Linked DNA regions of Rattus norvegicus. The protein of the gene in region 2 binds, or shares a complex with, the protein of the main gene of each other region. Links are inferred from orthologs where the notes say so. Each region holds a gene or a part of one and is shown on either strand. Other genes may lie near its edges.

Region 1 (4,014 bases), about 54 Mb from region 2:
CTCTCCACCCAACCTCTGATAGCCACTTTGGGATCTCAAAAGATATTTCACATTGCACCAGAATTTCTTTGGAATGGAGGAGACTGGTAGAAACAAGGCTGAAAAAGAAAAGGAGGCCAGTCCTGCCTAAGGAAGCAGAGTCCACTTGAGCCTTCTTGCACACCAGAGGCGCCTTCGACTTTGTTCCCTGCTCTCTCCTGCCACAACCCAGTGACCCAGTCCTCCCTTGGCCCCCTCTCATGGGAACCCAACACCCTACCCCGGTGCTGCACCTATGCTGACAGCAAATGGAGCATCGTCGTTTTAGGTGTGGGTGGACGCTGCCTAAAGACGAGGGACGCTGCCTGCTCCCTATCTTTCACCCTGGTCAGGGCGAGAACTAGAACCCATACCAGAACCCGTACCACACCTCAACTCAGTTCATTTAGAGCAGTTCTCACTTCAATTCCCGGTCGCCCTAGTTCACTCCAACCCTTTTCCTTGTCTTCTTTGCGACCCTCCAGGACCCTCTTTAGAGTCTTTGAAGAAGAAGCCTAGGTTTGGAGTTTCAGATAGGAGGTGGGATATGCCAAGGCAGAAGCTAATCCTCACCAAAGAGCTAAGGTAGCTGACACTGTGGCGATCACTGCGGCCACTGCGGCAGAACTCCGTAACTGCGGCTCCAAACGTACTAAGGCACCTGCTCTGTAGCAGGGGAGCCTGGTACGCAAAACCGGATCACCACCGCCATCACCACGTCATCTAAACCACCAAAGAAAGATGCTGGACTCCACAGTAGCTACTCACTCTCCCATCACCCCATCCCTCCGGCAGGCGCACGTGTAAACACACACACACACACACACACACACACACACACACACACACACACACACACACACACTCTTCCAGAACTAGGGGCATTGGTATAAGAGGTGGGCAGAAAAGGCATCTTTAAGAGAAGAAGGGAGAAACTAGCGCGGGGGCGAGCCTGGAGAGCAGTCACTCAGGAGCGCGCGCTGAACTCTGGAGCCGAGGAGGCGCGCCGAGAGTCACCTGGTGGGACAAAAAGCCGCCTAGAGCCTGGAACCGGCTGAGGTTAAGGGGAGGCTGGTGGGGGAGTGGAGGAGTTGGGGCCAGGGCAGGGGGCGGAAACTAGGAGGGGCGGGCGATGTGGTGGGCGGGAGCCTGAGCCACCAGCGCCGCGGGAGCAGGTGGAACCGGTGCTAGAGCTCGCTTAGCAGAGCTAAGTGGGACTTCACTGGAGCCATGGAGCTGCTCAAGCTGAACCGCAGCGTGCAGGGACCAGGACCCGGGTCGGGGTCTTCTTTGTGCCGCCCGGGTGTCTCCCTTCTCAACAGCAGTAGTGCCGGGAACCTCAGCTGTGAACCCCCTCGTATCCGCGGAACCGGGACCAGAGGTGGGTGCCTCCCTAAGCCCTTCTCACTGAACCCCACAGCATTATTCAAGAACCCTTCTGACCTCTATTCTGTCAGCTGCCCATAGTTTTCCTTTGTAGGACTTCCGCGACTCACACAGAGACCCCCCCCCCCCCTTCACACACTGCGCTCCCAAGCTCTCATAACTCCAACACCTTCCCATCATGGTTCAAAACCCCCGACTTCATACTTGCTCTGCCATAGCTACTCAGATCATCCCCGAGCTCAGCATCACACAGCCGGGAAACAAGGACCTCTTCTTGTCAGCAGGTCTAGCTTTCTTTTCCTTTAACATCCAGTTCACAGAGCCAGTACCAAGGAGAGAGAGCGACAGGAACCTCTGAATGAAGGGCAAAGGAGGGCTGGGCCGGTGAGGGCATAAGCTCTCTGGACTGCCTGAATGGGAGATAAGAGTTGTAATAGTCTCCCACCCCACCCCAACCTTTCCCAAGAAAAGAGGGCTACATTCAGATCTGAATTTAACCAGCACAAGGGAATGCTACCTTTCTTGTTCCATTTGTCCCCAAACTCTTCTGTTCCCAGGGTCAAGTCCTCCACCCATCTGCATGTCTTCTCTGTCACTCTGAAGGTCTCTGAGTCCCTTCCACAGCGCCCCAAGTATCCCTTTTCTCACTTGCCTAGAGCCAACTTCCCCTGGCAACAGTCACCCCATTCCTTTGTGTCACCTTCCCTTCCTACTGCTTTCCCTCATCCCGGCTGCAAATGACTCATTCCTCCCATCAGTAGCATCTTCATTGCTTCAATGAACATCTTAAAATGCATGTTCCCTTTCCATCCCCATATTTGTTTGCAATGTTTAATGAACATTTACTAGGCTTAGTGCTGGGAACACTGAACGAACTAGACACAGTCTGCAGTCTCAGCAGTCTGCAGCCAAGTACACAGGGACAGAGAAAATCACTGCCTAGAAATCCCACAGAGGGTCTGATTGGAATATGGACACACAAAGGAATTGGGGAGTCTAGTAACTTCACTGAGGGTGGAACCTGGGAGCTCGGGTTCAGTAAATGGAAAAGGAAGGAGTTGGATTCTATGTTCAAGAAGTAAACATTGTTAAATTATACCCTACGTATTTACTCAGCCCATGAAACAATTCATGCTTTCTCAGTTTGGCTTTTACCCACTGTCACTTACTCTTTCACTCAGGAAAGATTTATTGGACCAGAAACTGCTAGGCAACAAGGATACGCATTTAACAAAACTGACGAAAACCCTACTTCATGGAGCTCTGAGTTTATAGGGGAAACAGACAGTAAGCCAGGAATGGTAGCACAAAGAGAAGAAGCATTGTGGATATATAAAAGGGACATCTCCAGCCTACTCTGCCCTTGGGGATTAAGACGGGTTTCCTGGGGTATGGATGTGATCAAGTAGGGAAATATGACAGAGAACCAAGTGACAGAGCAGAAGAGGCATAAAATGTCTTAGAGAAAGATATCCTGTCTCAAAAGCTCAAAGTTTAAGGCTATAGCATGTCTGTTCAGTATAACACAGTTTTTGTATGCTGGAACATGTACCCTTGAAGGTTCCTAATAACAGTGTAAACCAACCTAGAGTGTGCTTGGGGAGCTTTATAGCTCTTGCTATAATGTGTAGATTTCCTCCTGAGGCATTGGGATCCACTAAATAGTGCTGCCAGGATTGATTGCATGGTGTTGAGATTCAGATAGAATGCAGAAAGATACTTTAGAAAGCTATTGCATTACACAAATCTGGCTGGAAGATGATGCTAGCACAGATGGAGAGGCTGGCAGTGAGGATGCAAAGAAGTGGACGGACCCAAGAGCGACTTCTGGAAACGGAGTCAACAGAACCTAAACATTGATTAGAAATAGAGAGGGTGGATGAAGTCAAGGGATGAGATCCAGTTTCTGGTTTAGGCAACTGAAAGGATGTGGATGGCATATCATAGAGAGACAACCAAGGAGGGGGACTAGACGTGCATTTCATATTACAGCACCTGCTTGCAACGGCAAGGCCCTACATTCAGCTCCTAATAACGAAGGAGCAGAAACAGTTTTGAAAGAGGGAATTATTATAAACTCAATTTGGAGCCCATAGAGTTCAAAAATTGATGGTTACTCACCAAAGCTGTTGAATCCTGAGATCTGGAACTTACCTTGGAGATCTGAGCTGGAAACATAGACTTGGCAAGTCTTCACCTTTGGGGGGGAGAACCAGAAACCATAGGAATTGGCAAAATACTTTTAAAAAATATTGTATAAAATGAGAGCAGGGAAGCTGAGCCAGGACCCTACAGAAGGCTGGCATTTAAAAGCAAGGCAGAGGAAAGAAGGTCCAGGAGGAGATGTAAGTGAAATAGAAACAGTAGCCGTGTCTTTGCAGAAAGTGAGAGAAGAGTCTTAGCTGAGGTCAGGTAAGGGATACTAATTATTGCTATGATGAATCAGAGATGAACAAAATATCCACACCGGGGTTGTTCATACACAATAACTACAGAGAGGGTGATGTGATACCAAGACCTGACTCAGAAGGAGGAGGACTGGGCCATGGAGAAGGGGTTGCAAGAAGTGAACAAGAGTAGTTAGCAAAATGTCCAAGGAGTGGGGGCATC
Region 2 (4,223 bases):
TTAGAAGTGTAAAAACCAAGTAGAATTTTGCTCCAATGGTACTAGTTTCTCCACTTTTTCCTATTTTATTCTCTCCCCTCCCCCTTTTCTTTGATACAATGTTTCATACTGCTCAGGAAGCAATTCTCCTGCCTCAGCCTGTCGAGTGTGGAGTTTATGACACACCATATCCGTCTCTTTCATTTCATTCTGTACTATTTGGAGATCTCCCAGAAATCATCCTTAACTGTCACGGTGTAGAAGGGTCAAGCTCATAATATCAGACTTTTTAACATAGTGTGCTGGTAGGGAAACAGAAATCACCTTAGTGACCGGAAAAGTTGGAACAGATCAGGAGGCTCTTGGAAACTTGGGTTTTTCTCTTCAGGATTCAGATTCCTATCTGGAGATACTGAGGACAGTTCCGTCCACAGATCTCTTGGTAACCCCCAGCGAGCCGGTGACAATCCTTTCTCTTTCCTAGTAAAGAGTATCCCATTTTCTAAGACAGATCTGGAGTCAGAGGCCACTTGAGGCAGTTTTTCCGGAATGGCGTTTTAGAAATAGGAAAGGGCAGCAGGGCTGTAGAGAGGCCTGGGGTGCAGCGCGTGGGCACCCATCAGGGCTCCCGCCGCGCCAGCGGCCGGAGGGCAGGCCGAGGACGCCATATTCTCGCCGACCACGCCCCGGCGGCCCGCGGCAGCCAAAGGACTGTGTTCGCCGGCCGGCCGGCCCCGCTTGAGCGGCCGTGACCGCTGCTCCCGGGCTCGCGCAGAGGGAAGCGGCGGGCGAGCCAGGCCGGCAGTCGGGGGCGGGGCGAGGAGAGCGCGAGCTGTCCAGGAGGGGCCTCGGCCCCGCCCCTTGCGCTGCGCCCGCCCCCTGCGCCCGCCCTCCTCCCGCCGCCGCCTCCCTCCCGGATCTGTGCTCCAGTTCAGAGAAAGGAGAAAATGTGTGTGTGTGGCGAGGGGGAGGGCGAGCACTGAGCAGCCGCGGCGCGCCTGGCAATCGGGCCGGGTGGGCGTCCGGCGGAGGCGGGGGCGGAGGCGGGGAGCGCGCGGCGGCCGGCTGCCCGGTTTGCGCGCGAGCCGAGTGGGCGCGGGCAGGCCGAGGGCGCCCGGAGCCGAGTCAGGCGGCGGCGAGGAGCGGGCGCGCCGGGCGCGCGGAGCCGTCGGCGGTCGCTCGCTGCTGGGCCGCCTCGGTGGATGAGCTCGGGCCGCTGGGCGCACAGCTTAGGGCAGCATCGGCAGCGGCGCCTGGAGGGCCGCGCGCTCTCCAAGAAGGCGGCGTGTGAGCGCGGCCGGGCGCGGCGGCCTTTCCTCGCGCGTCCCAGGCCCCCGGCCCCGCTCGTCCCCGGCCCGCCTGGGCTACGGGCCCGGCCGCCGTCCTCACCGCGGCTCCCTGAGCTCGTCCCTGACGCGCGCCCGGGCGGCGGGACTCCGCGGCCGCCGCTGCCTCGGGGGAGCGAGGGCGGAGGGCGTGTGTGCGCGCGTGTGAGCAGGGCGCCGGCGGGGCTGCAGCGAGGCACTTCGGAAGAATGACTCTGGAGTCCATCATGGCGTGCTGCCTGAGCGAGGAGGCCAAGGAAGCCCGGAGGATCAACGACGAGATCGAGCGGCAGCTGCGCAGGGACAAGCGCGACGCCCGCCGGGAGCTCAAGCTGCTGCTGCTGGGTGAGTGCGGCCCTTGGGCCCTGGTGCCCCCCGCCCCGGCTCGCCGCTGCCCTCCCCGCGCGCGTTCCCGGTCGGCACCCGCACCCGCGCGCGCGCACACAGGGGCCGAGGGCCGGGGCTCCGGAGCTGCGGTGTGCGCCTTCGGTGTCAGCTAGGGCCGTGCTCTGTGCGCCGCGTCTGCGGGACGGCTGAGCGTCCGCGCGAGCGGCGCGGGTGGGCGATGGCGTGCAGTGCGGTGGCAGGCCAGCGTCCATTGTGGCGCGTTGTAGGGTGGAGAGGGAAGGGTGGAAACGGGGAGCAGACTAGGGTCTGGATTCAGCTAGGAAAGGTGCTGAGGAAGCCTTGGCTGGCGCTCCAAAGAAACCCGGGTTAACGTACTGGGCAGGGGCGGGGCGGGAAGACTAGCCCAAATGTGCTCCACTGTAGCCACCAGGCCACTGACAGGAGTGACCCCAGAGAGTTGCATGGGCAGTGGATGGTGACAGGCGTCTCTTCTGCACCATTCCTTCTGGATAAAGATGAAGGATCCGGGAGTGTTGTACTGTGTGGTTGTTGACAGCAGACGGCTATCTTTTGTTTAATGAGGCGACCCAGATGTATGCCTGAATTCACAGCAGTTTCTACTGGAAACCAGCACAGCCTCTCAGTTACTCTCCTGGAAACAAACAGAAACCTTTTGTTTAAAACGGACATTTTAGTATCTTGCCATCTGGGCTCCAAGAAAAACGGGAAGAGTTCGAGAAAATTTCCCTCAGATCTCTTTTTTTTTTTTTTTCTAAATGACAATCCAACATTCTGCTTTAACACGAAATTAAGAAGAAAATGCTATTTTCAAATAGGAATTATATTGATTATTATCTCTGAGAGGATGTTTGGAATCAAGCGATCAGGGTTCATGTACAAGCTAGCATGACATAACTATTGCTACTGTGGTAGGAAGCATGAACTGCTTTGCAGGAACAGGCCTGAAAAATGTCTGCACTTGTGTTTATTTGTATGAGTAAAAATAACGCTTCTCAAACATTTCTGTAAGAAGAGGATATTGCTTCGTTGGTTGGGATTTGAGAAGTCCCCCCTCCCCTCTTTCTTTTCTATCTGGAGCAGTCCATCTGCTGGCTCCAGGAACCCATTACCTTGGGGACCGAACTGCTTATGTACTGGATCACTTATAGTCAGGAGCAAAATATCACAATCACAAATGGCTACCAATGCTATTTCCTTCCCCAGCGTAGGTTTTTTTTTTATTGAAATCCAGTTAGGTAAATGTGCACATATAAAGTGTTCATACAGTACAGAAGGCAAGGAGCTGAATAAAAAGGTGGGTTTTAGGGGAATAAGGCAAGGGGAGTGGGGAAATTGGGTAAGTCTACCACCCTCATCATTTCTGTTTCTTCTCATGGCTGAAAATGGAATGCCTTATCTTTTTCTTTCTTTCTTTCTTTCTTTTTTTTTTTTTAAATTGAGAAGGGAAAAGCAAGGGCAAGTGGAATAAATATACGGTGTTCCAGTATACAATTAAGAGGGAAAACATGTGTTTTAGAGATTTTTCTCTTAGACCTGGCTTTTAATTTTCCTTTGTTTACAATCTTCATATGTTTGTGTTTAGCTAAGAACAGGGCATTTGAGGTCTAGTTAACCAAACTTATTTGCCTGAAATTTGACAGCTCGAGGTTTCCAGGCAGCCATGAGTTAGGTTTGTCAGAGGGCCTAGGTTTAAATGCCTGAGAGGGGGATACACTTATAGAGATACTTAATTACATGCTGTTTATTTTAATAATATGCTATGCTTTAAAAAAAATGAACATGGGAATGATTTCCTGAGGGGAAATCCCTCCAGTCCTACTGCTAAAAATGTGGTCAGTGTAAGTGTGTGGCGGCCCTCCCTCACTGATTATAGATTGAAGCAGGCTTTAAACATGGCCCCACCTCACCCATCAGAGACAGACTGGTGGAGGTGGTAGAAAATTTGCTGTTGATTCAGCACCTGCATTTATGAACAACATTTTTTAAAAAACCCATACAGTTCTCTGTCAGAAGTGGGAGCCCTGGGCATCATTAACAATCACGGCTGTTCTCAGTGTGGATAGGCTTCTTCCAAACGCAGTACCCACATTATTTGTGTAATCATGATAGACATTAAGTGTAAACGTCTCTGTGTGTATGAGTGTGAGATTAGCAGGGAAATGAGTGTTGAACAAGGGAGTGCTTGGGGGAGGGGCTCCTTCCTGGTCTGCTGCCTTGGGAGTAGTCTTCATTTCCTAGTTCTTTCGTTCATTTTACCAACATCTATCCAGAGGAGATTACAGAATGTATTTCATCACATTATTAGTACCTTTGAAGGCTTCTGTACATGGAGGGATCATGCTTCATGTTGAAGTTCTGTGTAAAATTGTTTTCAAATAAGTTTTAACTCAAGGTTGACACTCAAGGAAACTGTCCTGCAAGGGAGCAATGTATTATTTACTTATTAAAATATGGTGGTATCACAAAACCGGTTATCTGACGAGATAATCAAGTGTGCCAGTAAGGCTCTTTTGAGTCATTATCCAGTACTTACGCTAGTATGTGCCTCAT
Region 3 (4,015 bases), on a different chromosome or scaffold from region 2:
TTGGGAATGTTATAAAAATTTTAATGGCAAAACATAGGAATAAAAACATATTGACAAAATGTATTCAATCATTTACAATACAAACAAGGATATATAGCCCAACTGGCCTCCAACTCTATGCTCCTGCCTGTCTCCGTGGTGGCGATTACCCCTGGTCCTTGGACATGCTCTACCACTGAGCTACAAACCCCAACCCACGCCTCTATATTGCTCTGGAATATGGCATCACACGCAGAAGAGACCCGAGTGGAATCAGGTATAGAGCAACACATTGTGGACGCATTTCAGTCACAGACTTGAGCTTGGAAGCGAAGGAGATTTACAAACCGGGTCCATGAACTGTTAACCCGAGGCAGCAAACATTCTAAGTCCCATCTCCAGATGGAGCGAGCATACATGGTTGCTGTAGGCTTTAGACAAGCTAAGAGTACCGAACCATTGGCGGTTAGTATTTTCCACACTCTAGCTCACACATCCGGGTTTGTTTAATGACACTGGTCGACAGATGAGCTTAAAACCTAATCCCAGAACGCGGAGTCCTTCCTGCCCCTTTTGACGGAGTTCACAGCAGTCTGCTCTGCCTCTACTTGAGCGAAACCTCACCAGATGTGCTGGTGGCACCATCCTGGCACCAGCACTTAGGAAGTGAAGGCTGGAGAAACGCCACAAGTTTGAAGTCAAGAGGGTAGGGGAGGCAGAGAGTTTTAGCAAAAAGGCAAAACAAGACAGCATTCAACAAAACAAACAACAACAAAAAAACCCTTTCATATCCGTCAGCTCCCACACTGCCTATTACACCACAAAGCCTTCCACACCAATTGCTGAAGACAAAGGCAACAGCTTAGACTTTCTAACATTTACAAGAGGATGACCTCACTGGTTCTCTGAAGTAATTAAAGGTTAAAGATAGTTTTGGACATCGCCCAGGCTCTAAGAACCCTGGGTCCCAACCTTCCTGTCATTTGCATTCCAATGGAGCCACCTCACCGGTCCAGCCCCACCCGCAGGCGACTCCAGCAGCCAAGTGGACGCTGGCCAACACACCGGAGCTACGGACAGGCTGTGCCGGGCTGGATGGCCCGGGGTGGGTGGGGCTTGCGTAAAACGGTCGAAGGGGCGTGGTCTCCTGGGAGGCGTGGCCTATCGCAGGTGCGTCCAGAGGCTCCGGTTTCACTGAAACGGGTCCCGCCCCAGGAAGGCTCAGTGAGGCTGGTGTTAAAGGAAGGGGACCCGGTACTCCGAGTGGGGCTCGGAGTTTCGAACCACTGGTGGCGGATTGCCCGCCCGTCCCACGTCCGGGGATGCGAAGTCTCAGCCTGGCGTGGCTGCTGGGAGGTATCACCCTTCTGGCGGCCTCGGCCTCCTGCAACCGGACCGTGAATGCACCGGGTGAGTTGGAGCGGCGGAGGAACGCGCTGGGCTGGTGGGGGGAATGGGGTAGGAGCGCACATCCCCGCTCTCTCAGTAGCTTTGATGGGGGTCCCTAACCAGGGCCAATCAGCCGGGACACCCGAGAAGTGCCCCCAAAGACATGCTAGAAACAGTCCTGGTCTGGGCACTTGAAATCTCTATTGGTCGACGTGGTTCGGGAGATAAGGAAGGAGCGCAGGCAGGACTCAGCCTCCCCTCCCTCCGGTGGTTCCTTTGCAAACACTGAGTCATTGAGAGCTTTTCGCGGACCCTGTGAACTCCGTTCGGCTGGGTGCTACCAGACCCCTGGATTACAGCAATTTGATGGCTCACGGTTGGGCGGAGTGAGTGGGAACCCGAGCCCTGGGAAGTTCCCACCTCGCGTTTTGCACTCGCACCCATCCACTGAACCCCTTCGTTGGGGGTTGAACCACAGTGTTCGAGACCCACTCGGGGCTACGGTGCCTGGCATCGCAGTGGATGCGCTGGACATGGAACTCAGTGGGGTTGGATGTCACGTGGTGGTAGAAGGGGACCTTTCCGACCCTTATTATATTTTTTCTAGACTTTTTTAGACTTTCTAGCCTAGAGATTTCGAGACCTTCCGGGGCCTCGGAGCTCACCCTGGTAGCCACCCAGTTCTAGTTCTGAGGCTGCCTAGCCCAAGAAACAGAACTGCAAGAAAGCGGTTCGGGGCGGTGCTTCAGTGGCCCGCCGCCGTTTTGGGCGGGTGGTGCTTCTCCCGGTGAGCTCGAACTGGCGCTTCTAGAAGCCAGGGAGACCTCTGCAGGCTGTAGGGTGGGGTGGGAGGTGTTTACTGCAAGAGATAGCCAGCTACACTTGCTAGAGTCATAAAGGTCATTTCTAGCCTTTACTTTGTCGATAAGTTGTAGAAGAACGTCTAACCCCTCTCGGTTTGCCTGTCATTTAAAGTTAGAACTTTAAAATTCAGAAGCAAAAGTTAGTGTGTGCAAACTTTAAATAAAAAAGTGATTGGAAGTGATTACTTTGATGATTCACCAAGTATAGGAAACATATCATGATTATTTGGCTCCTTCCGTTTACAGAATGAGGAGATTGGGAGGGAAAGGTTCCTAGCGTACGAGGTGAACTTGATTTTAACAATAAAAAAAAAAAATCAGGTTACTTGTTAACCCGAGTTACTTAATATCCCACCTTGGTTTTTCTCTCTGTATAATTATACTCCATTGCCGGTGACTTTCCTAAACAGTTAGTCTAGTAACACAGACTTTAGAGGCAGGGAGGTTTTTTCTCAATTGAAATTAAATCATTTTGGTTAGGACACAGGGCACCTTGACATCTTTGCTCACGCCCCTCAAGTCTGGTCTTTCTGTCTGCGCCTTGACTTCTTAAGCAGCAGATTGGGCTTGGTTTTCTCCAGCCCCCAAAAGATTGCTTCTCGGAAAGGGTCCCAACCAAAGATAAACCTCATATTTTTGCAGGAGGGGGTGGGGTTGGGGCACTGAATTGCGAATGTGACATTTAAATCAGCTTTTCTCCAACACAATCACTACTGCAGTCTCCCCCTCTCCTGCTCCCTCTCCCCTTTCTTGTCTTGCTGGTCATCTAACCCAGGGATTTGCACAGGCTGGGTAAGTGCTGGACTGTTGCTGTTTCTCTAGTGACACAGTCAGTCCATTTCCGTTTTAAGACTGGTTCTTTTTTGGTGTTCGTTGTACTCTTTTCTTCTTTTTCTTCCTTTGAAACAGTATTGCTGTGTATCCATGGTTGGCCTGGAATTCTCTATGTATAACCACGCTGGCCTTGAACTTGCAACAATTCTTCTCTTCTGAATGATGGGATTACAGGAATGAATGCACCACCATGCTTAGACAACATTTTTAAAGTTAATTTAAAAACATTATGGGCACTGGTGTTTTTGCCTGCATTCATGTCTGTGTGAGAGTGTCGGATCCCCCGGAACCGGAGTTAGAGACAGTTGTCAGCTCCTACTTGGGTACTGGGAACTGAACCCAGATCCTGGGAGAACAACCAATGCTGAGCCCATCTCTCCAGCTCCCCATAACATTTTCTTTTTTAAAATCATAACAGTAATATGTGATCACTGAAAAAGAAAAAGAAAGAGGAGAAATTTAACGAAATCATCCTAAACACCGGTACTTAAAATAACCACTACTAACATTTTGATTTATATCTTTCCCATGCTTTTGTACCTGTGAAGTGCATAAAAATACATAACATTCCCAGATTAGAAAGCCTTGTACAAGTATGGGTTTTTAACATGTAAAGGTCAATAACAGTTTTAACAGCTTTCAAATATGGACACACACACACACACACACACACACACACACACACACACCAGCGTCCCATGTATTAAGTACTAAACCTTAGGGCCTCCTGTGTATTAATCAACCACCTTGTCACTGATTTTACATTTTATTTTGAGGCAAAGTCTCCTTAAACTGCCCAAACTCCTTGGATCCACTAGGTAACCCAGGCAGGCCTTGAACCTTGGGTTCCATTTCCTCATCCTGAATAGCTATGATTATAGACCAGCACCGGCAAGCCTGGCTTCATCCTTTTTAAATTAGTGTCTCGTGAACAGGCACACAGGATGTTT

What was found. Proteins that work in one complex are often made in the same cells at the same time.
Region 1: the proteins of Gnaq (region 2) and Cckbr are in contact, whole or in part, in a cryo-EM structure (PDB 7F8W), measured with the Homo sapiens proteins. The link is inferred for Rattus norvegicus from reciprocal best matches to the Homo sapiens genes GNAQ and CCKBR. Residues at the interface, in NP_002063.2 of Homo sapiens: Arg30, Arg34, Asp35, Arg37, Arg38, Leu40, Ser198, Val199, Phe341, Lys345, Asp346, Ile348, Leu349, Gln350, Asn352, Leu353, Lys354, Glu355, Tyr356, Asn357, Leu358, Val359; in NP_795344.1 of Homo sapiens: Thr87, Val88, Thr89, Asn90, Glu151, Arg152, Ala155, Ile156, Pro159, Leu160, Ala162, Arg163, Val164, Trp165, Gln166, Thr167, Ile241, Leu245, Gly248, Leu249, Val331, Leu335, His394, Arg396, Phe397.
Region 3: the proteins of Gnaq (region 2) and F2rl1 are in contact, whole or in part, in a cryo-EM structure (PDB 9D0A), measured with the Homo sapiens proteins. The link is inferred for Rattus norvegicus from reciprocal best matches to the Homo sapiens genes GNAQ and F2RL1. Residues at the interface, in NP_002063.2 of Homo sapiens: Arg37, Ile323, Tyr325, Asp346, Ile348, Leu349, Gln350, Asn352, Leu353, Glu355, Tyr356, Asn357, Leu358, Val359; in NP_005233.4 of Homo sapiens: His108, Pro109, Ala110, Met114, Gln172, Arg173, Val176, Ile177, Pro180, Met181, Gly182, His183, Ser184, Arg185, Met265, Met268, Leu269, Met274, Asp275, Asn277, Lys280, Lys281, Arg284, Ala285, Leu288, Ile289, Tyr344, Tyr345, Val347, Ser348.

Annotation. Positions count from the first base shown.
Region 1 is NC_086019.1:169,182,365-169,186,378, forward strand, and holds the start of Cckbr (gastrin/cholecystokinin type B receptor), read left to right. Parts: upstream 1-1,213; 5' UTR 1,214-1,248; coding exon 1,249-1,399; intron 1,400-1,608; exon of another isoform or gene 1,609-1,814; intron 1,815-1,921; exon of another isoform or gene 1,922-3,527; intron 3,528-4,014. UniProt on the Homo sapiens protein: Receptor for gastrin and cholecystokinin. The CCK-B receptors occur throughout the central nervous system where they modulate anxiety, analgesia, arousal, and neuroleptic activity.
Region 2 is NC_086019.1:222,851,035-222,855,257, forward strand, and holds the start of Gnaq (guanine nucleotide-binding protein G(q) subunit alpha), read left to right. Parts: upstream 1-1,418; 5' UTR 1,419-1,513; coding exon 1,514-1,649; intron 1,650-4,223.
Region 3 is NC_086020.1:28,517,154-28,521,168, reverse strand, and holds the start of F2rl1 (proteinase-activated receptor 2 precursor), read left to right. Parts: upstream 1-1,214; 5' UTR 1,215-1,301; coding exon 1,302-1,389; intron 1,390-4,015. UniProt on the Homo sapiens protein: Receptor for trypsin and trypsin-like enzymes coupled to G proteins.